Linked DNA regions of Caenorhabditis elegans. The protein of the gene in region 1 purifies or fractionates together with the protein of each later gene. This does not show direct contact. Each region holds a gene or a part of one and is shown on either strand. Other genes may lie near its edges.

Evidence for each region.
Region 2: the proteins of msh-5 (region 1) and Y67D2.2 fractionate together in Caenorhabditis elegans (co-fractionation; one large-scale study listed by BioGRID). This does not show direct contact.

What each region holds. Positions count from the first base shown.
Region 1 is NC_003282.8:13,146,540-13,162,194, forward strand, and holds the start of msh-5 (MutS protein homolog 5), read left to right. Parts: upstream 1-8,693; coding exon 8,694-8,847; intron 8,848-8,898; coding exon 8,899-9,057; intron 9,058-9,104; coding exon 9,105-9,185; intron 9,186-9,241; coding exon 9,242-9,439; intron 9,440-9,488; coding exon 9,489-9,607; intron 9,608-9,653; coding exon 9,654-9,763; intron 9,764-9,830; coding exon 9,831-10,056; intron 10,057-10,825; coding exon 10,826-10,888; intron 10,889-10,938; coding exon 10,939-11,049; intron 11,050-11,107; coding exon 11,108-11,182; intron 11,183-11,456; coding exon 11,457-11,529; intron 11,530-11,576; coding exon 11,577-11,742; intron 11,743-12,227; coding exon 12,228-13,014; intron 13,015-13,089; coding exon 13,090-13,331; intron 13,332-13,881; coding exon 13,882-14,043; intron 14,044-14,089; coding exon 14,090-14,344; intron 14,345-15,118; coding exon 15,119-15,328; intron 15,329-15,375; coding exon 15,376-15,483; intron 15,484-15,655. Other genes in the region: nlp-79 (Neuropeptide-Like Protein), read left to right, coding at 3,042-3,115, 3,722-3,866; Protein disulfide isomerase crld-1, read right to left, coding at 4,357-4,568, 5,447-5,584, 6,075-6,173, 6,233-6,359, 6,442-6,536, 7,207-7,309, 7,363-7,459, 7,523-7,605 and 1 more. UniProt on the Caenorhabditis elegans protein: Crucial component in meiotic recombination, functioning at some point after the initiation step of recombination. Plays a role in promoting the crossover outcome of meiotic recombination events.
Region 2 is NC_003281.10:1,553,424-1,569,225, reverse strand, and holds the start of Y67D2.2 (Ubiquitin carboxyl-terminal hydrolase), read right to left. Parts: upstream 10,427-15,802; 5' UTR 10,345-10,426; coding exon 10,318-10,344; intron 10,268-10,317; coding exon 10,183-10,267; intron 10,117-10,182; coding exon 9,976-10,116; intron 9,012-9,975; coding exon 8,687-9,011; intron 7,899-8,686; coding exon 7,799-7,898; intron 5,932-7,798; coding exon 5,599-5,931; intron 4,249-5,598; coding exon 4,094-4,248; intron 3,834-4,093; coding exon 3,671-3,833; intron 1,689-3,670; exon of another isoform or gene 1,627-1,688; intron 1-1,626. Other genes in the region: eelo-1 (Early ELOngation arrest), read left to right, coding at 10,704-10,770, 10,819-10,893, 10,948-11,057, 11,354-11,654, 13,057-13,397; ddx-35 (putative ATP-dependent RNA helicase DHX35 homolog), read left to right, coding at 14,785-15,027.

The DNA.
Region 1 (15,655 bases):
TTTCACTTCGCATTTTTGCACTTTAACCAGCTAGCAATACATTTCCAAAATGGAAAAAATTGAACTATTCATACGAAAATTCATATTTATGTTGAACACACCGTTTTTCGAGTTTTTGATAAATTGCTTCGTCTCGAGAAATATTTTTCAAAGAAGGCCTAAACATAAAATAAAATGATTTATTTGCGGAAACATAAATTCAAAGCTTCTAGTCGAAATTTTCTAGTTCAGATGTGAAGCTCGTTTAAAAAATTACTCGATAAAATTATTTCTTCTAAAATCCCGAAAATTTCTGCCTCAGTTTTGTCTAGAAGATTATTTAACATAGTGCAGCCAAAGCCTAAGCCTAAGCCTAAGCCTAATAGTAAGCCTAAGCCCGCCTTTGCATTTTCCACGTGGAATCCACAACACGATTTCGAAAATTCTCAAAATTTCGTATACGGGAATTCTATGCTCCTTTTTGCATACATTTCGTGGAATTACCTTTACCCATGCGAACACGAGTACACATAATCTGCCTAATGAGACTTCAAAGTATGCATATCTATTTATTTGCTGTTCGTTTACACGCATGACCTCATTTTTTCCTTTGAATGCACGGATTAAAGTACTGAAACTTGCAACTGATGACGAGCTTCTCCATTCAACTTCCAGACAAGATTAGGTAAAGTTCAAGTGGAGCTTACAGCTGAAATCAGAGAGAGGCGGGTATTTTGTAGATAAATTTTTTCAGTAAAAAAAAAAGATTTTTTAAACTCTAAAAAAATCCCGGTGCTCGTTTTATTGCTAGAAAAGTCATATTTGAAGGATCTATGTATTTCAAAATTTTGTTTCAAAAATCGAAAATTTATTGAAAAATTTTGGACGACAACTTGAACTTGAAATTTGAACGCATGAGGCAGACAGGCGCATTTTTTGCCTTCGAGAAAAGCCTTTTGAAGGCACGTATGGAAAAGCCAATATGTGGGTGGAGCTAATCACAGGTGGTTACTAAAAATTCTTAGCACATTGCTCAAATTTCATCTTTGTCCCAAGTTGGGACTCCCAACTGATGACGATTCATCATAGTAACTTGAGCATCTTTTGTCTATTTTTGGAGCATTTCCCTTTTTCAGGTACCCCCCCCCCCTCCCAATCTCCTCTCCTCACCTCTTTTCCATTTTTGATCCCTTCTTCATTTTGTGTGCTTCTCTCCTCCCAGAGCTCCACCCACTTTTCAATGTCTGAAACATTTCGTCTCATTATGTGTTCCGGAACAGCAAGCCGAAGTCCGATTAAAAAGAACGCGAATTTCTGTTTTTTTTTCTGCATTCTGCATTCTGACGGATGTAGTGACGTTCGGAAGAGATGGCGAGTCTAATTAGAAACTTCCTAGGCATGGGTGGGGGAGTTTCTTTTTGGCCCCCATGCTTATTTTGTCTAGAAGATTGCTTCGTGGTGGTCGATAAAGTTGGGACCAATTTTTTTTTCAAAATGAGAAGAACATGGTGCACCCAAAGCCTCAGCTTAAGCCACAGCCTAGGCCTAGGCCTAAGTCTAAGCCCAAGCCAGGTCTCCGCTTCTGTACTAACCCTCTGGCACCTCAATTTACTACAACTACGTGCTGAAAAGGGTTCCGGAGGTCTAAAAAATGTTGATATGTTGACTTTTCGTGGTCCAGTTGAGTGAGCTTTCCAGTCAAAAGTGTATCTAGTTTGAACCAATGTACTTTTTTCCTCACAAAAAAAAGCACAAAAGTTAAATCATTGTTGTTTTTGTTTCTTTTCAGTAGGCCCCCATCTTCTTCTTTTTCTTCCCGGTTCTCACTATTCTATTCAAATTTCCGGTCCATTTGGTGTCTAATTCAGTAGTTTTGATTACATTACGCACCACCGGAAGATTAATCAGTCGCCCCTGAAACAGTATTCGTTGAGAGCTCTCGTCAGATTGGATTCGATCAGGGGGCCCTAGGGAGACAAAAATTTATAGTATCAAACTTCAATTTCTTCTAATTGTATTGCATGGGCAGTTTCGATGATATCAAAAAATTCACAACTACAAAAATGTAGAGAACAATGTGTTGGGTAGTTTTGTAGTTGACACCATTTTGACTGTATAAAGCCCTAGGCTTGTTCATCACGCGTTTTTCTATTTCGAGCTAATGATGAACTCGCAGAAAACAGAATGTGCTCTGACCAAATTGAAAGTGATGTATGATATGTATAACAGATTTGGCATTTTTCTAAAATCAGCATGTACCTGTCTATTGCTGACCAAGTCACGAGAGAAATTGCAGCGACTTTTCACATTCGTGTCACGTGCAAAGCATATGTCGGTTTTTGCGACGTGGCCTAGAAATAGAGAAGACTCGGCCACCGAATTTTTTCGCGGTCACGTCATATGAATGGGTAGAACCAGAAGGTTTCGGTATTTTGATTTTTTTCGGAAAATAGTATTTATGAAAAATATTGTTTTTCGATATGATTGGAGGGAGAAGTGGCCTAGAAAAAAACTAGATTTTGATAATTTTTGGAAATGATATTTATCTATTTTTTGAAAGAATTTATTCAATTTTCACATTAAATTGATAATTTTAGGATTAAAAAATAACATAATTAATTTTTAAGATTTTTTTCAGTTTTTTTTAGATTTCCAACTGAATATAAACTATGTGAGTGAGTGATTCTACAGAAACCCTTTTGTAGGTGGCCGAGTTTTCTATTTTCTCGACCACCAATCAAAAAGCCACGTCATAAAGAAAGGTTGATCTATTCAACCGTTGACATTTGTGAGCTCATCTGAATGATTGTGCCCACCACCCACAAAACGATGCAACCCGAGACTTTCAACAACTTTTTACAAGTTTAGACAATTTCCACGTTTTGTTTCGAATTTCTCTCTCTCTTTCTCTGGTGCCACGTCATCTCTCTCATGAAGCTCCGCCTATTTCATGCTTCATTCACACTTTCTGATTTCATTCATTCATCTACTGTTTCGTGCATCTTTGCTCTTTGGATTTTTTAGTGCAGTTCAAAAAAATTAAATTCAACTTTTCAGGTAAAATGTCCACTCGGTGGTTTGTGTTCGTCGCCCTGATGGCTCTCGTTTTACTTAGTGCACACACTACAGAAGCAATGTGAGTTGGAAAAAATTAAATAAATTTCAGGCCAAAGTCGGAGCCTAAGCTTAAGCCTAAGCCTAAGCCTAAGCCTAAGACTCATCCTAAGCCTGAGCCTGAGCATAAGCCTGAGCCCGGGCCTAAAACTAAGCATAAGCCGGAATCCAACAAACATAGCCCCCAGGAAATGCCAATCTGAGAGTTTAGTTTTCCCCAAGTTTGAAAATTTTAGATTTTCCAAGAAATGAAGTGTTTCTTTAAAATACATTTTTCCATTGAACACGTCCACCGGAAATGTGTCTGAACCTTTTTTTTTTGAAAAGTTTGAACTCGTTTTTGGAAAGCTCACATTTCCAATTCTCGCCCACATTCTTGAGTGTGAGGGGTCACTTGCAATGTTGCGGAACTTTGAAGAATGAAAATGTGTCGATTTACGCAGTTCGTGTACTCCTCGAGGAAAAGTCTACAATTTCTTTTGCGAAAAAATACAAAAAGCAGCACATTTTGACGAAAAAAAAAACTATTTATAATATTGCGAAATTGCTCGTAAATCTACAAAATAAAATGCTGGCCTAGCTTTTTCTCTTCCACTCTTTAACCTAAAAACCCCAAAACAATTTCCAGGCCACGTCCGGGACAAATGTCATTGAGCAACACACGAAACTGTTTCTTCTCGCCAATGGGATGTGTCTTCGTACCAAAGATGTCACGAATCCGGAAACTTTCAGCTGACTTTCGCAACGAAATCCCGCCACCCGACTACATTTGATCTATTGCTGCTCCACCGCGCGCCACGTACATCGCCACGTTTTCTATCGATTGGCGTGTTTTTCGCCGTATGATCTCTCAGTTCGTTCACACATTTCACGATCTCTTTCTTCTAGCAGTTCTTCTCATTTTTTTTAAAGTTCGGCATAAATCTACCATGTTATTTGAAAAATGTGATATATATATATATATATATTGCACATAGAAAACAAGAGAAAAATCACAGACAGATCGGGATTGAAAGCAATCAAAAAATGCATATATATAGCAACAATAAATAAAAAATGTTAAAATTAATATAGGCTATAATTCATCCTTCTCATCGTCATCGTCTCCATCCTCATCTTCATGAGCTTGCTGTTCCGTTGCTTTCAAGGCTGCAAATTTTGAAAAAATGAAAATATTCTACATTTTATTGATGAATTTCTGAGCAAGCGCTGTTAACTGTTTAATAACCGTATAAAACCAATAAAAAAAATTTTAAAAATTGTTCAATATCCTAAAAATCGCTTGGCCTCGTCGGGAATTGTGTCAGGATTAACATAAAGATCGACAAGAATCAGGGCGACGATGGTGATTCCCGTTAAAACATAGAGCACTGGGGATCCGTGCCAAACGACGAAAGTGATGATGATGATGAGAGAGGAGAAGGCAATCAATTTGAGTTGCTGGTCGATTGGCATGAACGGGCGATCAGGAGATGCTGAACCATGGTGAATAGAGGAAATTGGAACTGGGTGAAGGAGCCCCTAGGGAACATGCAGAAGCTTCAGACTTTGTTAGGTTTACTTATATAACGCTTTCAATCTCTCTACAGAATCGTAGAAATCTCCATCCGATCTAGGAAACTTGAGCGCTTTTTCCTACGCTTTTTCCTACGTGGCCTAGAAAAAGTAAAAACTTGGCCAGCGATTTATCTTGAATTTTTCACGTTAGATATTTTTGGAGCTCCAGCTGAAGCTTCCCCACAACGGTTTTGAATGGCCCTAACTCTTTTTATGAGGGTGGCCGAGTTTTCTTATATCACGGCCACGTAGTAAAAACCGTTCTGTGTGTGGGGTTTTGTGAAGAGGACGTTATATTCCTGGTGCACAAAACTCTGAGAATGCGTATTGCACAGCATATTTGACGCGCAAAATATCTCGCAGCAGAAAACTACAGTAAGATGACTACTGTAGCGCTTATGTCGATTTACGGAAATCATTTATTAATCGATCAAAAATATTGAACATTTTTGAAAAAATCACAAAAATTACAATTTGAATATTGCTGTCACTTTTTTCCCGAAAATCGAGCCCGTAAATCGACACAAACGCTACAGTAGTCAATTACAGTAGTTTTCGTTACAAGATATTTTGCGCGTCAAATATGTTGTGTAATACGCATTTTTTATGTTCTCGCAATATATTTTTTGAACCATGATTTTTCAGAAAAGCTCGTCCCTTTTTTTTGGAAATTTTTGTTTTTAATGCAATTTTTCGATTTTTTTTTGAAAACTGAAATTTAAATTAGATTATCCAGAAGTAAACCAGATCATGCTTTGTTAATACCACATTCAAATTGAAGAAAAAAAAAACGAACCTTCGACGTCAAATTGACAATTTTGCTCATCATCCTTCTTATATCCTTCCTTACATTCACACTTGAACGATCCGACAGTGTTCACACAAATTTCGTGCTCTTTTGTGCATGCGGACTCGTTTTGGCATTCGTTGACGTCTGAAATAAGGATTTTTGATTAATTAAAAGTTAAGATGGCGGTTCAAAAATTTAGAATTCTAAAAAAAAAAAATTGAAATTCGCATTGAATTTTATAGATTTTTGCATAGTGTTTCGGCAATTCTGCAAATTTTAATTTTTCAAATAAAATGTTTTTCAGCAAAAATCTGGTCTGGAAAATGTTAATTTTTCTCTATAAACCAGATTTTACTTTTTTTTGAAAATGACACGAAAAATCTATGCTTTTGTGAATTTTCCAGGTGAAAACTTCAAAATTCAGAGCTTTTTATCGGAAAAATCACGAAATTTTTTCACTTTTTCCAAGCAGAAATGGGGAAAAATCGCGAAATTTGTGCTCTCAGTCCCAGTTTTTTTTCACAATTTTTTGATTAGATAGAAAAACACGAAAAATGGAGATTTTTCAAAAACTTTTCTTTTTTTCAAGAATATTAAATGAAAATTCAATTTTTTTTTCCAACTTTTCTCATACCTGCGCACCCTTCTTCTGTCAATTTCCACCCATTTTTACATTTTGAGCATCCTTTTGAGCTCTCCGATGAGCAAACTCCAAGGCAGCCCTCGTGGCATTCTGAATTTTTTCAATTATTTATTTTTTCGATTTCAAAAATTAAAAAAAAAAAAACAAACTTTTACAAACGACACCCTGCACTGTCCGAGATTCTTCGAAATACTCGATATCACAGTATCGGCATAGATTTCCAGTATATCCAGTCTCACATTTACACTTTCCACTGCCTTCGCGGCTTCCATCTCCCTGAAAATTGGATTTTTGTTGGTTTTTTTAAAGGGAAAAATTAATTCTCAATTTTTCAAGATTTTAAAGAAAATTGACTAACATGACAGGATCCTTTTCCAAAACAGACATCAGCTTTTTCACTTAATCCAGGACATTGTTCGCAGTTTTTACCAAAGTGTCCATCAGGGCAGCACACTGAAATTTTTTTATTTATTTTTTGCTATTAAAAGTTTGGAAAATATTATAAAATATTGCTTAAAGGCGCACGTTATTGTTTAGATGGGTCTCGCCGCGAAAAAATATAATTACGGTTTTTTAAAATTAAATCCGAAAATTAATTTTTTTGCATTAATTTTCGCTTAAAGAATTTCAATTTTCAATCACAAATTTCTAGTAAATCGAAAAATATTAATTTCTAGCTATTTTTAATCAGAAAATTGTGAAAAATCGTATTTTTTCTAATAAAACTACAAAATTTTCGCGCTTTTCACAGTAAAAATAGAAAAAAAACTCAATTTTTAGTATGAAATTTGCAAATCTTTGGCGATTTTCAACGGGAATAATAACATTTTTAAGTTTTCTGGCGGAAATTTGTTGAATTTTGCGATTTTTTTGCTTGAAAATTCGGTTTTTATTGAAAATTAGGCTCTCGAAAAATTTCAGACTGGAAATTCAATTTTTTATTGATTTTTCGGGGTATATTGTGAAGAATCTAGTTTTTAAAATGTTCGTTTTATTCGCGATTTTCATTTAGAAAATAGCGAAAAATTCAATTTTTGAGGCCGAAATTCGCGAATTTTCAATGGAAAATGCGTTTTCTTTCGATTTTCATACGTTTTTATAGTCAAATTTAAGAAATTTTTACATTTTAACTGCTCAACACAGAGCCAATTTGACATATTATTGTGTTGCTGGTTGTAGTAGAACTCTTCAATTGTTTCTTCATGCTTTTCAAGTTGAGTAGAGCACTGAAAATATAGAAATTACAGGGTTTTTATTAAAAATTTAATTTTTTGAATACTTTAAACTCGATTTCTGCGATTCCCATAAAATTGTCCATATTTGGGAGCGACGATTTCTTGCAAACACCTTCGAGAACTTCGATTAGCCGGGTTTCACTGAAAATTTTGATTTTTTTTTTAATTTAAAATATTTCCAGCGCCAAATTTCGAGAAACCAACCTAGTTTTGTACTTTCCCAGATTTTTCTCTTCCCAAGCTGTGTCTCCACCGGCAAAATGATGGCGAGCCGTTTTTTTGAGACCCTGAAATTCGGAATTTCTTTTTATTTTATATTTTTAAATTCATTTAAATATAAAAATAGAGCACAAACCTCATCAAATGTGCTCACTAGAAAATTACACGTCCTGCATTTTTCGTTTTTGATGGTGACTTCTTTTTGTGACGTGGCACCAATTAATACAGCAAGCAGGAGCAGTATCCGGCTCATTTTCACCCTGAAAAATGGAAAAAATTGGATTTTTATGTAGCTTTAAGACACGACAAACCGTTATTTTAGAGAAATTACACGCAGAATAAGCGAATGAGCGCGGCCGAATGCACTGCAAATTGTCTACGTTGTCCAGTTTCTCGGCCCTGTGAGCGGAGAAAAGAGAGGGAGAAAAGAAAAATGAACAAATATTGGCTTTGACCGGGATTACTAGCAAAAGAGGTGACTGATGGAAGAGGGAACAATTAAATATTAGAAAAATTCGAAAAAGTTAATTATTTTCGCTGGAAATCACCTTAATTTGGGGAGTTTCGAAAGAAATTTTGATAAAAATAGAATTATCCACTTTTTATTTCGTGAAAAAAACAACAATTTCGACTGAAAATCCAGCTTTAATTCGAGAAATAACAAATATTTATTTATTTAATTAAATTAAATTAAATTAAAGAAAATAATTGAATTACTGTAGTGATCGTTGCGGGACCCGATGAACCGAAATCGGTATGCGCCTTGTAGTTACGGTAAGAAAAACGGGCGGTGTCGAGAATTTAATTTAAATTGCATTTCCAAAACAATTTTCCTCGTTTGAAAATAAATTTTACGAGTTTTTGGTTAGTTTAAATGCTAAAAACTTGATTTAATTTAATAAAACGTACCTAAAAATTCAGTTTCGTAGCAGAAAACACGAAAATTTCAGTTTTTAGTAAAATTTTCGGAATTTCTATTTTCAAGTCTTGTTTATAGTTACTTTTTATGGTGTTCAATCAACTTTTTGAAGTTTAAAATGTTTAAAACGTTTAAAATTACTTTACAAGAACCGAAAAAAACCGAAAATATTTCAATTTTTAGTTTTTCAGCAACCTTTTCTTAAATCAGAAATAATTTTATGAAATTTTGGTTCAAATGTCCACTCGATGGAGATATTACAATTCAAAACGCGGGAATGGATTCCGCGGTCGAGGCAGAGGCCGAGGTCGCGGTACAAGCTTGACCGCCGTCGCCTTACCCCGTGATGATAATTTTCACAAGGGAGCTCAGGATGGCGCTTATTTCAAAGGTTAACTCTAGATTATTCCTATTTTCTTTAAATAATTTATTAAAATTGCAGACATGCCGATGGATCCGGAGCAATTTCGGGATGAAACGGTGCTCAGTCTTTCTTTTGCTCAAGGAATGCTCGGAGCTGCCTACTACGAGCAATCAAGCCAGTTGTTGAAGATCATGAACGATATTTCAGAAGATCTTGAATTTAGATTCTTGAAGAGATGTCAGTTTTAAATCCAAAAAGCTTGAAATTCAACTCATTTTTTTCAGTGATAGACGATGTGAAGCCGACGCTAATAATCGCAAATAGAAGCCAGGATCTCGAATTTATCAAATTTTTGACCACGCGGTGTATGAAAATCATTATAAAAATTGAAAAAAAAAGATTTTTTTAAAATTTTTTTCAGATGATCCACAGGAAAAAATCTATGAAGACGGGACTACAGAAGAAGGAACATCAGAGGATACGGTTCCGACATGGGATTCTTCGCTAGCTTATTCTACTGACGAGACAACGGCGGAAAAAGAAGAAAAAGAAGAAGACGAAGATGATGATGACGAAGGATTACCGGCGAAGCTTAATAAGCTCCCGAACAACTTTTTCAGTTGCTTAATAATCTCCAAACATTTTTGATTTTAAAAATAAATTTGCAGGAATGTCGCGAGCTATAGAAAGATTAAAGGCGATGGCCGGGTCCCATGACAGTTCGATGACGGAAGAGGACAAGTACATTATCATCAAGATGAGATTTGATATTGAAGCTGTTAATATGGTTAGCAGATCTCTGAGCCAAAAAAAAAATTATTTTCCATCTTCAGATAAGATCATTTGGAGCACTTCTTCTTTTCCTCGATGAAACTAGGATGGGCGTGACAGACGATCCTTTGTCAGTCACTTCACCTATCAAATCTATCAAGACATTTACATTGTAATTTTACTATTTTTTGTTTTTTATTTCCCTTTGAAACAAAAAAAATCATTTTCTTCTTTTTCAGAGGAAACCTGGTAGAAATCGATTTCAACACAATTCAGGCGCTGGATATTCTGCCAAAGGAAACCGAGAATAAGAAGACTTTCGGACAAGGTAGATCACTTTATCAGTTGATGGATAAATGTAGATCAACCGTTGGAAAAAAGTGCCTTCGAAAATGGTTTAGAAATCCGACTACGGATAGAGATGATCTTGTGTCAAGACAAAAATGTGTGCACTACTTCAAACAGGTGATAATCTTTAAAGTGGAGTACCGAAATCTATGGGAAATATTTTTAAATCACTCCAAATTTTCCCCTGATTCCGAATATCTAAGTGAAAAAATATTTTTAAAAAAGAGATCCCTGATTTTATATTTCAGCTTGAAATCGCGATTTTCAAACGCAGAATTTTCGCGCCAGAGACGGCATGTGTCGATTTACGAGATTTGTGTATATTTACGAGATTTTCAATCTTTATCAGATGCTGATTTTCATTTTTCAACGAGTTTCTTTCATTTTCGTCGGTTTTGCCAGGTTTTTTTTTAAAAGAAAATGTGTTTTTAAGGTAAATTAAACATTATATTATCGAAAAACTACAAAAGTTTCGATTTTCTGTCGGGAAAAGAAATTTTGATAGATTTTTGTTGATATAATGTTTAATTAACCCTAAAAAACGCATTTTCAAAAAAAACCTGGCAAAAACCGACGAAAATGAAGGAAACTCGTTGAAAAACGGAAATCAGTATCCGATAAAGTTTAAAAATCTCGTAAATCGACATGTGGGGCGTCTCAGGCACGAAAGTTCGGCGTTTGAAAAGTCTCATGGGGACGCAAATGAAAATCGCGATTTCAAGCTGAAATATAAAATCAGGGAAATTTTTTTTGAATTTTTTCACTTAGATATTCGGAATTATGAGAAAATTTAAAGTCATTTAAAAAAATATTTTTTGTATTTCGGTACTCCACCTTTAATAAATTATCTTTTCGTCAAATATATACATTTTTTTCTCAAATTTAGGACTGGAACGCCGAAGTGACCGCTAAGTTATCATCAATTCTTGGAAGAGTGAAGGCTCTGAACGTATTAAATAGCAATCAAGTTTAATTTAATTCATTTTTGGCCGATTTCAGAGTGTATTCCAAAAATTTCAAAGTGGAACAGCTCAGCTCATTCATTGGGAGTGCTTCGTATCGACAGTCAACGCGCTTGTTGAAATCTTGAATATTATCAGGCAGACACCGGTAAATTCAAATAATTAATTTTTATAAAAAAGCGAGGTTTCAAATAATTTTTATTCAGATTTCGAAGGAGTTTCCTGTAGAATCAGATCTTCTCCGAGAAGTCTCTGAAATTGCAGTCATCGCGGGCTCCATTGTATGTTGCCAAGTGTTTTCTAAAATACGGTACCTGGTCTCGACACGACAAGAGAAGAGTACTGTACTTTCAAACTTTGTTGTCGCTGGCATTTTCGTTAACAATCTCGTGTTTTAACTCTTTCGTTGAAGTTTTTTAATCGGAAAACTGTGAAAAATCGATGAAAATTCCAGAGCAAAAAAAGTTTGCGATTACAGTAGTCGAACCACATTTATCAAAACTTTGCCGTGCCGAGACCAGGAATAAGATTTAAATCAAACTTCAAAAATTTCAGATCAACTTCGCAGAGTCGAAGATTCAAGGAAGAGTGACAGTGATGAATGGAATCGATGAAGAATTGGATGAAAGTATTTTTTTTAATTGTTTTCAAGCCCTTATTTTATTATTTCTTCAGTACGCGACACATATGAGAACATGCCAATGGTGCTCACTGCAATTGCTAAACAGGAAGAAGCTCGACTTGGTCTACCACCGTACTCTAATGTGGCGTGTGTCTACATACCACTCGTCGGATTTGTTCTTTCAGTTCCAAGAGATTACGGTGTGGAATCACAGCCTGAGTAAGCAATTCAAATCAAAATGAAATCACGCTCCACCCCTAAACGTTGGGTCTCGTTAGGAATCAACGGAAAATCCGATTTTCAAGCATTTTTGACCTTTTTTCAATTGTTTTTCTAGTTTTTATGCAAAAATAGTGCTAAAAAAGTGCATGTAAAATTGGACTTTGAAGTAGGTTAGTTTTGACGTAAAAAATAATGGAAACAACGGAAAAATGGTGGAATTGTCCAAACTGATGATAATAAATTCATAGGCAAAACTCATCTTCATATGCACTTTTCAAACATAATTTATACATGAAAACCATTAAAAACGGTTGTGAAATTGGCAAAAAAAAATGAAAAATCGGAAATTTGCCGAAAATGAAAATTTCCGGCAAATCGGCAAACCAGAAAATTGCCGGAATTGGAAATTTCCGGCAATTTGCCGATTTGCCGAACAGCAATTGCCACCCATCCCTGGTTCTCATCATATTGTAATTTCACAGCATGACTCTACTATACTCCACACACGAAGACTTACGAGTGAGAAATGCCACAACATCAAGATTAGACGACGAATTTGGAGATATTCTAATGAGATTAATCGACAGCCAGACTGCAATCATTCTCACTTTGAAGACAAGAGTGATGAAGAAAAAGCGAAGTATCATTAAACTTCTCTCTATTGCTTCTAGAATCGATGTGCTCATTTCGTTCGGCCTAATTGCTGCACAAAACGGATGGAATTGTCCTGCTCTTGTAGATGAGCCCGTGATTGAAGCCGTCGAGCTATATCATCCGATTAGTGTTCTAGTTGTCAAGAAGAGTTTCGTACCGAATCAAGTTAGTAGTGGTCGAGATGGAATTAAAGCAAGCATTATAACAGGACCAAATGCATGTGGAAAGAGTGTCTACATGAAATCAATTGGAATCATGGTTTTTCTGTCTCATATTGGAAGTTTCGTGCCAGCTAGACATGCGAAAATAGGAATAGTCGATCGAATTGTTACCAGAATGTTTACTGTGGATTCAGTTCTCGATGGGATGTCTACATTTGCAAAAGACGTAGAACAAGTTGCGTTGGCATTGAGGAAAGCTACTGGCAACTCATTGGTTATCATTGATGAGTTTGGAAAAGGAACAATGACAGAAGTTGGACTTTCTCTTTTGGCATCTGTCATGACTTATTGGATGAATAGGGGAGCTGATCGATGCCCTCATATATTCCTATCGTCACATTTCCACGCGCTTCCAAATTATATTCCTCTTGAAACTAACATTGCAACTTTCTTGGTGAGTTTTCTGTTTTTTTTTTCTTTGAAAAAATTTGTTAAAATAATTCTCTGAAATATATATATTCATTCCTAGACGTTCACAGTTCTCCGTGAAGCTGGTGGCAAGATCAAATACCTTTTCCGTATGACTCCTGGCTTGGTTGATTGCTCGTTCGCACTGTCGGTTGCTAAAGAGGAAGGAATTCCGCCACCTGTAATTGGAAGAGCTTGTCGAATTTATAAAGCATTAAAAGCTGGAACTCTACTCAAAGAAATTAAGGCAGAAGTTTCGAATGACAATGAAAAACAGCTTGTGGAAGACATGGATGTTGTTCTGTATGATTTTTGAAGTATTTAATGGAGGAAAATGACCAAAAATATCGGAAAAAAGCAATTGCCGTTTGGCAAATTTTTTGTCAAAAAATTCGGCAAGTTGCCGGTTTGCCGATTTGCCGGAATTTTTCAGTTCCGGAAATTTGCCGGAAGTTATTTATTTAATAAAACGGCAACACTTAAAACTGTGCCTTTAAAAAATAAAATTACCCGTTTTCTCTAGATATTTTCTTAGAATTTACTTACTTTTCAAAATTCATAAGATGCGTACAATTTCACAATCGAAAATTCTGAACCCCTGACAAGTCTTTTCAAAATTTAAAAAAAACACTTAATTTTAGCTAAAATACCCCATTTTGCCAATTTCTAATTTCCTTTTCGAAACGGAAAAGTTGTCGAAATTGGAGATTTAAGCTAGAATCAAGTGTTGTTTGTACTTTTTGGAAAAGTTCGGTACGAAATTTGCTCCTTTTGGGCTATTTTAAAGATAATAACGCGAAAAACCTTTGATTGGCTCCTACAACAAAAAAAAAATTAAAACTATATTTTGCAGTGCTGATGAAGATGGTTTCATGGCCGCAGTAGAATCATTTGTGAAAAGAAAGAAAACATCATTTTGCGAATCATCAATGCGAAATGTGAGCGAGGAAATTGAAAAGGAGAGATCAGAAGCTTCTACTCCGGCATCGAAAAGTCGCAGTACCATCACAGCCAGGTTATTACTGTGAAAATTGTTTTTTTTTAAATTAATTTTATTGTAGATCAAATAGTGTTCTTTCATCGCGATCGATGGCTTCAGTGGATCAACTTTCTGTGCTCGATGCCTTGTTACCAAAAAAGAAAAAGAAAAAAGTGACAGGTAGTAGTATGGAATCATCAATGTCTCCTGATCCATTCCAAGAAGAGGATGAAGGTACTGAAGGAGAGGAAGATCAAATAAGTGCACCTGTATCTCGACCAACACTTCCGTCTGTACAGAAATATGCCAGTGAAGAAGAGAAGCAGCAATCCATAAAGTATCTGGAAATTTTCAGTTTATTGTTCTTCCCAAAATTATAGAAAAGTGTTGGCAAAGAATTTGAGATTCTATTTTTTTTCGTCAATTTTCCAGTTTTTAAAGTTAAAAATTGATTTTCAGGGAAAAAAAAGAAGAAAAAAAATTCAAAAAATTTACTTTTTTTCAAATTTTGTTTAATAAGGAAAAGCATTTAAAAAAAATGTTTAGAAAAAATGTTTTAACGATATTTTTTATTTCAAAGAAAAATCGAAAATTAATTTTTTTTTCCATTTGTTAAAACTTTTCCAATTTCTCTATAAGAACGTTTTTATAAATTACAACAAAAAAAAATCGATTTCGGTCATTATTATTCTTTTTAGATAGAAAAACGATATGTTTTTGTGGGGTTTTACTCATTAAAATAAACAAAATTTTAAAATGATTTTAAAATTGTTGATTTTTCGATTAATTCTAAACCCCGAAAAATTAAAAAAATTCAAAATTTTTTCGACAACACCCCGGCGAAAAAATATAGAAATTATTTAGATAATTTTTCAATTCCGCAAAAAATAATCGAAAGGGCCGAACTTTTTTGAATCCGTAAAAAAATGTTAAAAATTAGGTCTCAAATCGAGAGGCCAAGAGAAAATGTAGAAAAAAAACGAATAAGTTTAGAAAAATGTCGAAAACTAGGTTATTCATTCGTTTTTTTCTTCAAAAAAAAAATTTAAAATTCTATTAGACGGTTTTCTGTCATTTCGGGCTGATTTCGTTAAAAAGTGCTCATTTTCAGCTCCCGACACTCATTCTCGACTCGAACTGCAATACATATTCCAACTCCAATCCAAATGGGTGAAGCTGGTGGTGTCAAAAGGCCTAGATCAACGTCTACTTCATCACCAGGTCCTTCAGCATCAAAATCAGTCAGAACTGAAGTTTTCAAGAAGACACCAAATGTGAAAGAATCACAAGTTCTCGAGACCCCAAAACAGCTTTCCATAAGGTGGGCTTTGGAAGCCCAATTTTTTTTGCATTTTATTGATTTTTCAGCTCATTCCTCGAACCAAAATTTCCATCGTCGGAGAAAGATGTGATCTCCAGAGTCAGTGAACGATATTTGCAAAGTGATCCATTCAAGACGCCGATCAGTGATAGAAGGTTCCATTTTTCAATTCAATTTTCTATTTTGGAGATCAGTGCTGGGACCAAAACATGCAATTTGTAAAAAAACCAAAAAAAAAACGTCGAATTTCGATTTATTTTGAAGTTTTTGGAATTGAAAACAAAAAAAACACACATTGCTGAAAAATTATTTTTTTTTGTAAAATAT
Region 2 (15,802 bases), on another chromosome or scaffold:
CTCGCCAAAAACTCTCGGAAAGGACCGGAAAAAAGTTTTATATGATTTGAAAAACGTTTTTTTTTAGTTGTAAACACTCAGCTATATAATATTTATGTTGCTCGAAAACTTCCGGAAAACAGAAAAAAAACGTTCCATCTACAGAGAAAGGCTTAGAAATTTTAGAATTTGATTTCAATTTTGAGTACGCCAGTCGGAGCACGCGCTTCAGCGCGTTCGAACGGCTGGTATATATATATTAGGTCTCCAAATAAGTTCCGGGTCAAAAATCATAACTTTGTTCGCTGCGTATCGATTTTTATGAAACTTTGGGAATTTACGTTATCAACCATGATCTTTCACTTGACAATAGTCACGAAAGTTTTTGACCACCCCAAGTGTCCTAACGCGGAGCCAATTTTTTCAGGCATTTTTCTGATCTCGCTTCTTTTCAGTTTTCAATTGAGCTTTGTGTGCGGATTTTGCTTTGTTTAGATTATTAGAAAACAACAGAAGTTTGGAAAAAAATCCGCCCAAAAAAAAATTTTTTTGGTTGGTCGTCAAAAAATGTTCAAAATAATTTTTGTCGAAAATTCTAGATTTTTCCTACAAAAATGATGTAACCAAGTGTAAACTATTTTTCGACATACAAAACATATCAACTTAGTTCGATACACTAAAATGATAGTAGAAAATACAATTTTTTCGGATAATTTTTTAGTTTTTTGAATATTTCTTGAGATTCAAATTTTTAACTCAAATGATTTATATGTGTAAAAATAGTTTACACTTGGTTACATCATTTTTGTAGGAAAAATCAAGAATTTTCGACAAAAAAAAATTTTTTGGGCGGATTTTTTTCCAAACTTTTGTTGTTTTCTAATAATGTATTCTAAACAAAGCAAAATCCGCACACAAAGCTCAATTGAAAACTGAAAAGAACCGAGATCAGAAAAATGCCTGAAAAAATTGGCTCCGAGTTAGGACACTTGGGGTGGTCAAAAAATTTTGTGACTATTGTCAAATGAAAGATCATGGTTGATAACATAAATTCCCAAAGTTTCATAAAAATTGATACACAGCGAACAAAGTTATCAATTTTGACCCGGAACTTATTTGGAGACCTAATATATATAATTTACTATATATAAAGCGCTTATTCCGTTTGTCCATAGTTTGTAGTCTATGTAGTCTTTGTAGTCTGCGAAGTTTTAGCTTCTGGAGGGATAGTGAGTTGGGGTTAGTGTAGGGATATAGTCGGGGTACTGTAGTAGTGGTACAATGGTGGTACGGTAGGAGTACTGTATGATTACGGTAGTTTCAGAAACATTGGTTTTCAGCAACAGAAGTCGGGGGCCGCGCCGGAGGTGCGGTCCACGGCTGGTATATAAATACATATATATATATATATATATATATATATATATATATATAAGCATTTGATCGCTAGAAAGCTTAAAGTTTCGAATATTAAAGTGAAATATAAAATTTTGGCGCGAAATTTTGGTGATTGAAATCTGCGGTCGTAATGCAAATCCACATAGAATGCGCTCTATGAGCAGCTGGGAGAATATATAAATACGTAGTGAGAGAGGAGATTGGGTAACCTGATGACAAGGGGGAGGGGGTGGTAATTACATATATGAGCACACACACACACACACACACACACACACACACACACACACACACACACACACACAAATATGTGCTCATTTGGGAAGGGTAGGCAGCAGGGGTGTGCGGATAACCGATTTTTTCGGCTAACGGATAAATCGGCTAATGCCGATTTTTTGAGAACCGGCTAACGGCTAATTTCAAAATTTTCGGCTAACGGCTAACGGCTAATTCGGCTAATCTCAGTCATTCAAATCGACTAATTTTCGGCTAATTCGGCTAATTCGGAAAATATTCATTTGGTTAAGCTTTTTTTGTCCATTCTGTTAATTCAGGTTTTGGGTTAATTTTTTCACTGTTATTGAGCAAATTCAGGGATGAACGACTGTTCAAATAGGAAAAAATCATACAATTTCACCACATTTTGTTTTCCAAAAAAATATGTTAGTTGAATTAGCCGAAATAGCCGATCGGCGAATTCGGCTAACATCGGCCAAAATCGGCTAACGGATAACTACGTATTAGCCGAACTGCCAAAAAGTCGGCTAACGGCTAATTCGGCTAATATTAGCCGATTTAGCCGAATTAACCGATCGGCGAATTCGGCTAAATCGGCTATTATCCGCACACCCCTGGTAGGCAGCAGAGGTGGGCGGATATTTTTTCGGATATTTTCTAATAATGAATTTATCAATTAGTATTGATGTAGTTATTCTGGAAGAAATGTATTCGAACAAAAGAGTAACTATTAAGCAACATTTTAATATGATAAAACCTAGAAAAATTCTACAAGTTTTTCTTACCGAGACCTTAAAACTTATTAGTCGAGCAACATCGGATATCGGATATTACGGATATCGGATAATGGACTTACATATCGTTTATACAGAAAACTTGTAGAATTTTTCTAGGTTTTATCATATTAAAATGTTGCTTAATAGTTACTCTTTTGTTCGGATACATTTCTTCCAGAATAACTACATCAATACTTATTGATAAATTCATTATTAGAAAATATCCGAAAAAAATATCCTCCCACCTCTGGTAGGCAGGGGTGTGTCTCATTGAGCACACCGGAAATTATTTCACCATGTTATCAATATGTAATGCCTTTAGGTAAGACTACTGGAAATCGAAATTCTTGGTTTTTTGACTGAAAATTGAGAAACAGCAGTCAAAAATTAGCTAAAAATGCCGAAAAAACTCTTGAAAATCTAAAGTTTTTCGGGAAAAATTGAAAATTTGGGCATAGCTTCCGCATCTCCGAGTGACAAATGTGTTCTATTGTCAAATTGTTGGCAGAAATACGGTATTTATTCACATTTTCGGCCAATTTAAGACTGAAACTGTGAATAAATACAGTTTTTATGCCGGAAATCTGAGAAACGCACAAGTCACAGGGGAAATATCGATTTTTTGTGGAAATTTATTCAGGGAAAATTCAAAGTTTTGGGATACTTTTTTTTAAATTATAGAATTTAAAGTCAAAAAGTTGCTTGAACTTTTCAGGGTTTTCTCCGGCATTTTTCCGGAAAATTGATAATTCAGCAGTTTTTAGGAGACTTTTCCCCAAAATTTTTCAATTTTTCAGGAAAAACTACCACTCGTCAGTGGTTTTGTGCAAAATTTAATGATTTACTGTCTTTTTAATAGATATCAGTGAAAAAAATCGAATTTCCCTATTTTTTCCGAATTTTTATCCAAGATTCTCAAAATTTTCCCATAATTTTTTTTTCAAACTTTTCAATATCTTAAATTAAAGCTGAAATTCGAATTCTCCACGCTCTCAGCTTTTGAATGACCCCCAACATGCCCGGGCTCCGTCGATTTTGAGTTTTGGAAGTTTTGACACAGCTGAAACCGGTGCTACAGTAACCCGCGTGGCGAGACCCAAAATTTTCAAATTCGACGGAATATAGCCATGTTGGGGGTCATTTGAAAGCTGGAGACGTGGAGAATTCGAATTTAAATGAAAATTTTTCAATTTTTGCAAAAAATTAAATTTTTAGGCAATTTTAAGATAAAAAAATCGATTTTTCAGCAGAAAATCCCAGATTTTGCAGAGATTTATTACCTGTGCATCACTGGTATAATACCATGTATGATGATTTGGAGCACTTGCTCTTCGATAAGTGACAAAATGTCCAGAATATGGACCTCCTCTGTGCTCACTGACTGCTCTCAGTTGATATGCGTACTTTTGAGCTTCACGTCGCTCGGCAACGAATGAGCCACCGCTGAAAATCGGGGGTTTTTTCTCTGAATTTGGGGGAAAAATATGTTGAAAATTGGGATTTTTACTCTTTTTTCGAGAGAATTTGAAGAAAACCCAAATTTTTAGCATTTTTCCGGATGAAATTTTGCCGAAAAAATTCAATTTCAGTGAAATTTTTTTCGAAAAAAAGTGAAAAAAGTACAGATTTTGTGCTTTTTTTCGCGAAATTTCCAGCAAATTCCAGAATTCCATCATTTTTCGCCAATTTTCCGATTTTCTCACTCAATAAGTGCATAATTTGATGCTAAATCTCCAAAAATCGCCGCCTGAGATGGATGAATTGGTGATCTTCTGGATCTTGTTTCTTCAGCTCCACCGACAACACGGGATGTTCCATCTGGTAATTGCCAATGCAAAGATGATTCTTCGTAGGATTTCTGGAAAAATTGGGGAATTTTTTGGGAAATATCCAATTTTTGGCGGAAATTTGCAGCATTTTTCACCCAAATTTCACAGTTTTTATTTCTATTTTGAATTTTTTTTTTTGGAAATTCAGTAATAAATTCATATTCTCCTCATTTTCAGCTTTCAAATGACCCCCAACACGCCCAGGTTCCGAGCAACTTGACCAACCGACACAGTTGAAATCGTTGCTACAGTAACCCGCGTGGTGGGACCCAAAATTTTCAAAATTGGCGGAACCTAGGCATGATGGGGGTCATTAGAGAGCTGGTGACTTGGAGATCTCAGAAAAAATGCTGGTTATTTGAAATTCTGAAAATTGACAAACTTTTCGCCGAATGTATAATATTTTTAAAGAATTTTTTTTCAATTTTCGATATTTCCGAAAACTAACAATTAATCTGAGTTCTCCACGTTATTAGCTTTCAAATGACCCCCAACATGCCTGGTTTCCGTGCAATTTGGGTCCCGCGGCGAATAACTACAGTAACCCGAAGAATTTTCGTGGCGAGACCCGAAAACTTCAAAACTAACGGGATATGGGCATGATGGGTGTTATTTTGAAGCTAATAATGTGAAAAATTCAAATATTGCATTAATTTTCAGAAAAATCGAAAAAGAAAAATTTTTTGTTTAAGTTTTTTGAAACATTTTTCGAAAAACGATAAAAAATTCCCAATTTTTGAAAAATTTCAGCCAACTCACATTATATTCGAGGTCTCCACATCTCCAGCTTTCAAATGACCCCCATCATGCCCGTATTCCGTCGATTTTGAAATTTTTGGGTCCCGCCACGCGGATTACTGTAGCACCAGTTTCAGCTGTGTCAATACTTCCAAAATTCAAAATCAACTGAACCTGGGCGTGTTGGGGGTCATTTGGAAGCTAATACCGTGGAGAACTCAGATTAATAGTTAATTTTCGGAAATATCGAAAATTGAACAAATTCTTTAAAAAAAATTAATCGGGCCAAAAAATTGTCAATTTTCAGAATTTCGAACAGCCAACGCCAAATTCAAATTCCCTACGCCACCAGCTTTCAAATGACCCCCATCATGCCCATATTCCGTGGATTTTGAAAATTTTGGGTCCCGCCACGCGGGGTACTGTAGCACGGATTTCAGCTGTGTCGAAAACTTCCAAAACTCAAAATCAACGGAACCTGGGCGTGTTGGGGGTCATTTGAAAGCTGATTGCGTCTGGAATTCGAATTTCTTACTGATTTTCTTGAAAAATTTGAAATAAAAATTTTCGCCATTTTTCGCAAATTTTTGCCCAAAATTTCCGCAATTTTCCGCAATTTTCTAGCATTTTCCAGCACAAACCTGATTAATTTTTGGATTTTTCCGAAAACAAACGTCCTGCAGCGATAGACATTCGCCGAAATGCACGTGTTCCGATAATTTCATACTTCCATTTGGCAGCATTCCAACTCGCTCGATTCGAATCATTAGGGTCTGCGGGAGCTTCACAATTCCGTGTTTTTTCAGAAAACCCTGCTGTTTCCGGTCAGAAGCCCGACATTTGTCACAAATCGCGTCGCGAATGATCTCCGAGCAAAAGAAACGGCGGAGCAGGGATTCTGTGTTTGTGGAGGTTCCCATTTGAGAATTTGGGATTGCCAGAGTCAGAACTGTGAAGGATTCGTATTTTACTGTCTGCAAAGTTAAAAATTTCCGAGATTTTTCAGCAATTTTCATGCTGAAATTCGGATTCCCCGTTCAATTTCACCACTGGCGAGCCCGTTTTCCGGGCTTCTAGCTCAAAATTTGATATTCGAGGGGTACTGTAGCCTCAAAAGTACGCAAACACGGAATTTTGCTAAAAACTGCACAAATTGGCTGAAAAACAGTTCAAGGGGTGAAAATTTGCGGGAAAATTGAATTTTGGCAATAAAAACGAGAAAAAAATATTTTGAAAGTTGAAAAAACATTTTGGATAAAAACTTTTTTTCAGGAATTTGCAGGTTTTTTTTTAGCAATTTTCATGCAAAAATTCGGATTCCCCATTTAATTTCACCCCTCATGGACCGTTTTTCGGGCTTCTAACCCCATTTTTGAATTTCGAGGGGTATGGTAGCGCCAAAAGTACGCAAACACCGAGTGTCTGCGGACTCGGCACTGAATTTGACGACAATTAGTCCAAATTGGTTTTGGGCATAGCTTCCGCATCACCGAGTGACAAATGTGCTCTATTGTCAAATTGTTTGCAGAAATACGATATTTATTCACATTTTCAGCCAAATTTAGCCTATTTATGAAAAAAAGTGAATAAATAGTTTTTATGCCACCAATCCGAGTAGAAACACATAAGCCACGGAAATATCGATTTTTTGGAATTTTTTCCGAAAATTTCAGACTTATACAATGAAAATCAGAGATAATCAAGTTAGAAGTTTTGAAATTATAGAAAAATTCTGCAGAAATCAAAATTTTTAGATATTTTTTCGGAAATTTGAGCAAAAATGCTCACTTTGGAGAATATTTCACCTGATGCTCTAATTTTGGAGCTCAAAAACGTGCTACTTTGTTTTAAATTTTAAAAGTTTTTTCCGGAAAAAACTATGAATACTGCCAAAAATCAACATTTTAGAATTGGTGGCCTAGAAATCCGAAAAGTTCGGCCACCAAAACGTTTTTCGTTAAAAACAAACTAACTAAGGTGAAAGCAAGCGGAGAACCAAATTTTAGCGCTAAAAATCGCCCGAAACCATCGAAAATGTGCCGAAAATCGGGCGAAAATGAAAATTTGGGCATAGCTTCCGCATGTCCGAGTGACAAATGTGCTCTATTGTCAAATTGTTGGCAGAAATACGGTATTTATTCACATTTTAAGCCAATTTAAGGATGAAAATGTGAATAAATACAGTTTTTATGTCAAAAATCTGAATAAGCACACAAGTCACAGGGGAAATATCGATTTCTCGGTTATTTTAGGGGATTTTCAGAGAAAATTCAAGGAAAACTCAAAAACTAGGAACTTTTGCGATTTTTCACTGCGAAATTCGAATTCAAAGCACCATTTTACCCCTATTTTTCATATTTTCTCAAAATTTCAGAAAACTGTGCAATTTGTCGTGGGATGCTCGGTGTTTGCGTACTTTTGGCGCCTCAGTACCCCGGAAATTTCAAATTTCAAGCTAGAAAGCTGGGAGAAAGAGTTTCAGTGGTTAAAAATGGCGGGGAGTTCGAAAATGGCATTGAAAATTATTAAAAACTGAGTAAAAATTAGAAATTCGTGGGTTTCCTTTGTTTTCGGTAAGAAATTCGTTTTCCTCATCACTTTTCACCCCGGGGACCCAATTTTTAAGGCTCTAACGTGAAAAATACGAAAACTGTGCAATTTGTCGTGGGATGCTCGGTGTTTGCGTACTTTTGGCGCTACAGTACCCCCGGGAAACTCAAATTTAAAGCTAGAAAGCTGGAAAAACTTGATCCGGGTGTAAAATTGTGTGGGGATTTCGAAAATCAATCTGAAAATTCGATTTTTTCGCAAATTTCGCACTAAAATTCACAAAATTTGTACCCTATATCCACAATTTGTGTTGCAACATCTGTATTCTGTGGCAGTTAGGCCGACACACGGTGAGCGGAGGCTCGCGTCAATTCGAGCCATTGAGGCGCATCTGAAAATTTGAAAATTTGGGTGAAAATCAGAAATTTCTGGTGATTTTTACGTCAAAAAATGTGATTTTTTAGGCCAAAAGAGGTGATTTTTAGGCCAAAAAAGACAATTTTTAGGCCAAAAAAGGTGATTTTTAGACCAAAAAAGAGAATTTTTAGGCAAAAAAAAAAGATGATTTTTAGACCAAAAATGCGATTTTTAGGCCAAAAAAGGTGATTTTTAGGCAAAAAAAGACAATTTTTAAGCCAAAAAAGGTGATTTTTTAGGCCAAAAAAGGTGATTTTTTTAGGCCAAAAGAGGTGATTTTTAGGCCAAAAAGACAATTTTTAGGCCAAAAAAGGTGATTTTGAGGCAAAAAAGGTGATTTTTAGGCCAAAAAAGGTGATTTTTAGGCAAAAAAAGACAATTTTTAAGTCAAAAAAGGTGATTTTTAGGCCAAAAATGTGATTTTTTTAGGCCAAAAGAGGTGATTTTTAGGCCAAAAAGACAATTTTTAGGCCAAAAAAGGTGATTTTGAGGCAAAAAAGGTGATTTTTAGGCCAAAAATGTGATTTTTTAGGCCAAAAAAGGTAATTTTTAGGCCAAAAATGTGATTTTTTAGGCCAAAAGAGGTGATTTTTAGGCCAAAAAAGGTGATTTTTAGGTCAAAAATGTGATTTTTTAGGCCAAAAAAGGTGATTTTTAGGCCAAAAAAGAGAATTTTTAGGCAAAAAAATGCGATTTTTAGGTCAAACACGGCAATTTTTAGGTTAAAAAACCCGATTTTTAGCTAATTTTCCACGTCCGAACCTCTGAAAACTCATCAATTTTCTGATAATTGACGGGGATCCTCTTAAACTCGTCGATTCCACCACCACATCTTCATCATCTTCACTACTACTACTATGACAATTTTCAATCGATTGATTCATTAAAATACGCCGGGAACTCTTCAATTCATCCTCCCAAGTTGTTACAAATACATTGAAAAGTTCGTAGAGATCATGTTCAACGCCTACAGTAATACTCCAACCATGCGCCTTTAAACTTTCGACTATTGATTGAGCTGTGAGGGTGGAGCCTGTTGGCTCATTGAGCAAATGAAGCAAATTGGAGAGGTGATCTACGAAGCCGCCTGGAAAAAAGTGGGAATTTTTAGGTAAAAATTTGGAATTTTAAGTTAAAATTTGGAAATTTAGGTTAAAATTTGGAATTTTTAGGTTAAAATTTGGAATTTTTAGGTTAAAATTTGGAATTTTTAGGACAAAAATTGAAATTTTTAGGTAAAAATTTGGAATGTGCAAAATGGTGAAGCCTGGAAAAATCACAAATTTTGGCTGAAAACTGCGGAAACCCATTTTAGCTGGAAATTTTGAATTTTTTAGATTAAAACGTTTTTTTTTCAGAATTTTCATGGATTTTTAAGCAATTTTCACACTAAAATTCGAATTCCCCGTGCAATTTTACTTCTAGGAAACCTTTTTCCGGGCCTCTAGCCCAATTTTTGAATTTCGAGGGGCACGGTAGCCCCAAAAGTACGCAAACACCGAGTGCATTACGTACTTGGCACCGAACTTTACGACATTTAGTCCAAATTGGCTGAAAACCAGGTTACGGGGGTAAAAAGTGATGGAGAACTCGAATTTTGTATTGAAAATCTGTGAAAATCACTGGAAAATGCTGAAAATTACAAGTTTTTCGAAAAAATGAAAATTTGGGCATAGCTTCCGCATCACCGAGTGACAAATGTGCTCTATTGTCAGATTGTTGGCAGAAATACGGTATTTATTCACATTTTCAGCCCAATTTAAGACTGAAAATGCGAATAAATATAGTTTTCATGTCACCAATCTGAGTAGAAGCACACAAGTCACAGGGGAAATATCGATTTTTCTGAGGAAAATACAGTTTTTAGCGGTTTTCGGGGGAAAAATGTGAGATTTCATCGAATTTTGCTGGGTTTTAGTAGTTTTCTGTAAGAAAAGCTGTTAATTTTTGCATTTTTTCCGGAATTTTTCATTTTCAATCGAATTTTCGTGTGAAAATTATGATTTTTCCAATGTTTCGCTCTATTTTTTGGTATTTTTTCCAATTTTTACCCTGAATTCCAATATCCTGAGGCTTCAGAGACTTTAACCACCCGACAAATGACGGGCAGCTCGCCAATCCTTGCAAAAGTGCATTCATATAGCATGTATTGCCCTGATTCGCTAATCCGGGCACCAGTCTGCTGCTGGACGCTGAAAATTTCAAGTTTTATTGATTTTTTCCACGAAAAAAATCGATTTTCCCGCCAAAAACCGCACCTTCTTCACCATTTCTGCTTGTCAAAAACGCATAGGTCACTGCAGCGGCAAGTGTTCCACCAATAAGTGTCCCAGCGACGATTGTCTGCAAAAAATAGCTTTAAAACTCGAGAAACACGCGAAAAATCCGGTTACTTGAGGCGAATAACCACGTAAATCCATTGTGAATGGCGTCAGAAATGTGAGAAGCGCGACGGAGACGCTTAGCAGGGCACAACGAACATCGATTTGGGTCGGAATTATTCTGAAATTCGAATTTTTAACTTAAAATTTGAAAAAAATCAAAGAAATCCTCATAAAATAGCTGAAAAATAGCTCAAAATTGATTAAAATGATGAAAAACAAAGTGGAAACGTCGTCAAGTTAAATGCATTCTGTGCATTCTAACGTGACGGTGTTTGCGGACCACCTGACGTGTACTCCTCTCGGACAAGTTTCGAATTAAAAAAATATTTATTTTTTGTATAAAATATCAATTTTTCCCAGATTTCAAGCTCATTATTGCATTTTTCAGTCAAAAAATGAACAATTTAGTGGATTACGAAGGAGAAAGTGATGATGAATCGCCGCGAAGAAGGTCATCAGAAGGTTTTTCGCCGGAAATATCATAAAAATTAAATTTCTAAATTGTTCCAGGCCAAAGCACAGCGCAGAAATTCAAAGAAGAATTCGAAAAAGAGAGAAAACGACGAGCTTCCGACGTTTATGGAGGTAAATTATCGATTTTATTGGGGGAAAATCGCCCAAAAAATGGGCTTTTTTCAGACGAAGAGGATTCGCCGAAGGATTTCGCCGAGCCACCGGCTCCAAAACGACTTGATGATCATTCTCCATCGCCAGCAGCGTTCAGAACTCCAGTTATTGGAATGCCACATGTAGGATTTGTGAAAATCGCGGGAAAACGGCTAAATCACGAAATTTTGACGCGAAAACTCGGAATTTCCGCTAAAAAAATTGAATTTGGCATTGGAAAATGTGAAAAACCGATTAAAAATTCGAATTTTCCGTCAAAAATCAGCGATTTTAGGCTTAGGCTTAGGCTCAAGCTTAGGCCTAGGCTTAGGCTGAGCCCCAGGCTTAGGCTTAAACTCAGGCTTAGGGCCAAGCTTAGGCTTAGGCTTAAGCTGGCCTAGAAATCTAAAACTCGGCCAAAAAATTTCAAATTTTCCAGGCCGCCTCCACAACTTCATTGGTTTCATATTCCGGAGACGGAGATGACGACGATGAAGATTCCTCCGAACCGCCTAAAATCTCCGGAGCCACGCCAATTTCAGAGATCAGAGAACCGGCTCCACCGCCACGACAGAGCCGTGACGTTGAAAGTGACGAAGAGCAAGAGCTCATTGATCGAGCAATTAAAGAGGGAAATGAGGCGATATTACGAATGAATATCGATGAAATTTCACCTTCAGATACGCCTGGACGGGATTCAGTTGTGGATTCACCGTTTTCGGCGGAAAATTTCGATAAAAGTACGGGATTTTTCTAGTGGTGGCCTAGAAAATTACAAAACTAGACCAAGCTAGCTGTTTTGGGAGCTAAAAATCGACTAAATCAGAATTCTTATAGAAAAACACCAAATATTGGATTTTTTTTTCAATTTCCACCGTACAAAATTTAGCAAAAATTCCAGGAAATCAAAAAATTTCGATTTTTCAGCTATAAAAGCTCTCTAAATGATTTTAAAAGCGAAAAATCTCGAATTTCTAGTGATTTTTCTCAGTTTTTCAGTTGAGAATTGAGTTTCCCACTCATTTTTACCCCTAGAAATGGTTTTTTCGCACAAAATAGATTGGTGGCCTAACTTTTGGAATTTCTAGGCCACCAATCTGAAAATGATGGTTTCAAGCCGTTTTTCATCGATTTTTTGAAAGTTTTATTTCAAATAATGGTAATAAAAACCTTTTTGACTTGAAAATCGCGAAATTTTCAGTTAAAAAAAAAATAAAATCTTCTAAAAATCGATATTTCCCCTGTGACTTGTGCGTTTCTCAGATTTCTGGCATAAAAACTGTATTTAATCACATTTTCAGCACTAAATTTGCTGAAAATGTGAATAAATACCGTATTTCTGCCAACAATTTGTCAATAGAGCACATTTGTCACTCGGACATGCGGAAGCTATGCCCAAATTTTCATTTTTTGGCGATTTTTTCCGAACTTCTGGAAAATCTAGGCCACCAATTGGAATTTCGGAATTTTTCTGTTCAAAAGTGAAAATATTGAGCAAAAGGCTGAATTGTCCATCTTTTATACCAATTCAGTGGAAATTTTAAAAAAAAGCATGAATCTTAACCCGTTTAGCCAATTTTTAGTCGAAAAAAAAATGGTGGCCTAACTTTTTCTACTACACCAACGCAATTTTTGTTGAATTTTAGTTACTTTTAAAAGTTAAACACACATTTGAATGCTAAACTTTCCAAAAAAAAAAAAATAGAAAACGCCAGAAACTTTGAGAATTTTTCATCGATAATCATGAAAATTCAATTTTCTATGTTCAAGCTGCTCAAATAAAAATTGCTAGAAGCTCAATCTTTGTGCAATTTAAGCTGGGAAGTCCCAAAAAAATCGATATTTCCCCTGTGGCTTGTGTGCTTCAACTCAGATTGGTGGCATAAAAACTGTATTTATTCATATTTTCCGCTTAAAAATAGCTAAAATTGGTTGAAAATATGAATAAATACCGTATTTCTGCCAACAATTTGACAATAGAGCACATTTGTCACTCGGACATGCGGAAGCTATGCCCAAATTTTCATTTTTTTTTTCCCGGAAAACTTGTAATTTTCAGAATTTTTCGGAGAATTTTCAAGGTTTATAGTGTAAAATTGAATTTCTAACTGAAATTTCTCAAACAAAAATTATAATTTTCAGCTCCAACTCACCAAGGAGCCGCCGAGAGCACCAGAGAGCAGCAGCTCAAAATCCCGCCACCACCGGAGATCGAAGTGAATCCAGCGATTGCAACACGATTTGAGCATGCTTTTCGTCAAAAAGCCCTCGGAACCGATCTAAATCAACAAATTCAAGGCAATCAGCAGTACAATAATCCGATGAGCTACACAACATTCATCGATGCGTTCGAAATTGACGAAAAAGGCACGAATTTCGCGAAAAATATCTTCGATCCGCACGTTTTTCCCGATAATTGCTTTTATGATGCGATCGCCGACGAGCAGAAGAAGATTCAGGAACAATCGGCAAAGAAAAAGTGAAAAAATCGATAATTTTCTCGCATTTTTTATTGTTGAAATTGTGAAATTTTGAAATTTTCCAAAAATGAATGTCAGATTCGTATTCTCCACGTCATCAGCTTTCAAATGACCCACTACATGCCTGGGTTCCGGCGATTTTGAATTTTCGCCGTTTTGACACAGCTGAAATCGGTGCTACAGTAACCCGCGTGGCGAGACCCGAAATTTTCAAAATCGACGAAACCCGGGCATGTTGGGGGTCATTTGAAAGCTGATGACTCGGAGAATTCGAATTCGGCGTTCGTTTTTTGAAATTTTTGAAATTGGAATTTTAAATTATTTTTCTTTGAAATTTTCCCCATTTTTTTAGAATTATTTTTTTAAAATTTGTTTATACCAATCTCGTAAAATCTTTTGAAAATAATAGTCATTCCTCTGCGAATTTCTTGTCCTTTTATTATATGGTAGCTGAAAAATTTGTAAAATTCGAATTTTATTACTTTTTCTACAATTTTTTTTTCAATTCAAAAATTTATTGAAAACCATGTAGAAATTCGATTTCCCGCCATTCTCAGCTCCAATTTGACCCCCATCATGCCCGGGTTCCGGCGATTTTGAGGTTTTTCGTCGTTTCGACACAGCTGAAACCGGTGCTACAGTACCCCGCGTGGCGAGACCCAAAAATTTCAAAATCACCGGAACCTGGGCATGTTGGGGGCCATTTGAAAGCTCTCAGTGAGCTGAGTTCAATGGTGGCAGAGTTTTGGAATTTTAGGCCACGAGAACTGGGGTTTCTAGGCCATTACTCAGAAATCGGAGATTTTGACCTTTTTTTTCGAAATTTGCTCGGAAATTTAGTTTTACCAAATAGTTTTAAATAGTATTTTGTGCGAATTGGTTGTTAAAACTATTTTTTTCAAAAAAAAAACCACTTTTTTGAAATTTTTTGAAAAAGTTAGTCCAAAGTCCAGAAAAACTCAAATTTTCTATAAATTTCTTGAAAATTCTGAAAAATTCGAATTCCCGCTATTCTCAGCTTCAATTTGAACCCCATCATGCCCTATTTCCGGCGATTTTGAGTTTTTTTCGCGTTTCGACACAGCTGAAACCGGTGCTACAGTACCCCGCGTGGCGAGACCCAAAAATTTCAAAATCACCGGAACCTGGGCATGTTGGGGGTTATTTGAAAGCTCTCAGTGAGCTGAATTTATTGGTGCCCGAGTTTTGGAATTCTAGGCCACGTGGATTTGGATTTCTAGGCCATCATTGAAAATGAAAGGGTTTTTGTTCAATTTTGGCGTTTTTTTTCCGAATTTCTTTAGTTTTCCATGAATTAAATAGTTTTTCTCACTTTTTTCAGTGAAAAATCTAAAATTTTCACTGAAAAAACTTGAATTTTCAGCCATAAATGTCCTATCACCCGGGACACGGTCACCGTCAGGAGCCCAGAAAAGGAGCCGGAGCCCGTCGTGGTTTTGCTCGACCGGATGACTCTGCAGACGCTCCACGTACCGGACCACTGATTTTCGAGGAACGATCTACCGAAAACGCGGGAGCAGCTCCGCCGATTGAAGAGCAACTAAAAGTGCACAATAATCCATATGCTTCATTGAATATTCAACAGCAGAGAATTAGATTACCTATTTTTAAGGTGAAGAAAATGTTCTACGGGAAATTCTTTGGCGCCGCGAAATTTGAATTTTTTGTGAAAAAAATTTTGAAAGTTTTTTTTTTTATGAAAAAATTTTTTTCGGAAATTTTTTTTGAAATTTTCAAACATTTGTCCCAGTTTTCTTTTTAGACCAAAAATTTTCACATAGTGCCAGCTAAAAATTTAACAATTTAAAAAAAAAATAAAAAGATTTTTCGAGAAAAAACTGTTTCTATAAAAATCGAAAAAATTCAGATATTGTGCAGTTGTGAGAAAATTAAATTTTGCACAGTTTGAGCTAAAAAATTGAGAAAAATCCTGAAAACTAAAAAAAAAAAATTTTGGAAAATATTTTTTTGAAAAATTCGAAAAAAAAATATCGATTTGTTTAAATTTGAAATTGTTTTTTTTTTTCAAAATGTTACAATAATAATATCAAAAAAGCTCAAATTTATACACTCTACCTACCTACAAACTGTAATTTTCAAAAAAAAAAAAACATTTTCTTCCAAAAAATAAAAATTTCTTTTTCGATTTTTTGAATTAATTTTTTTTCTTTACTATTTAATTTTTCTTAATTCAAGATAAAAAATTTTCAATAATTTTTTGTAGTTTTAACTGAAGCTAAATTTTTAATAAGTTAAATTTTTTCCCAAATTGAAATTTCAGTGACTCATGTGCTTCTACTCGTATTGATGGCATAAAAACTTTATTTATTCACATTTGCAGTCTTAAATTGGGCTGAAAATGTGAATAAATACCGTATTTCTGCCAA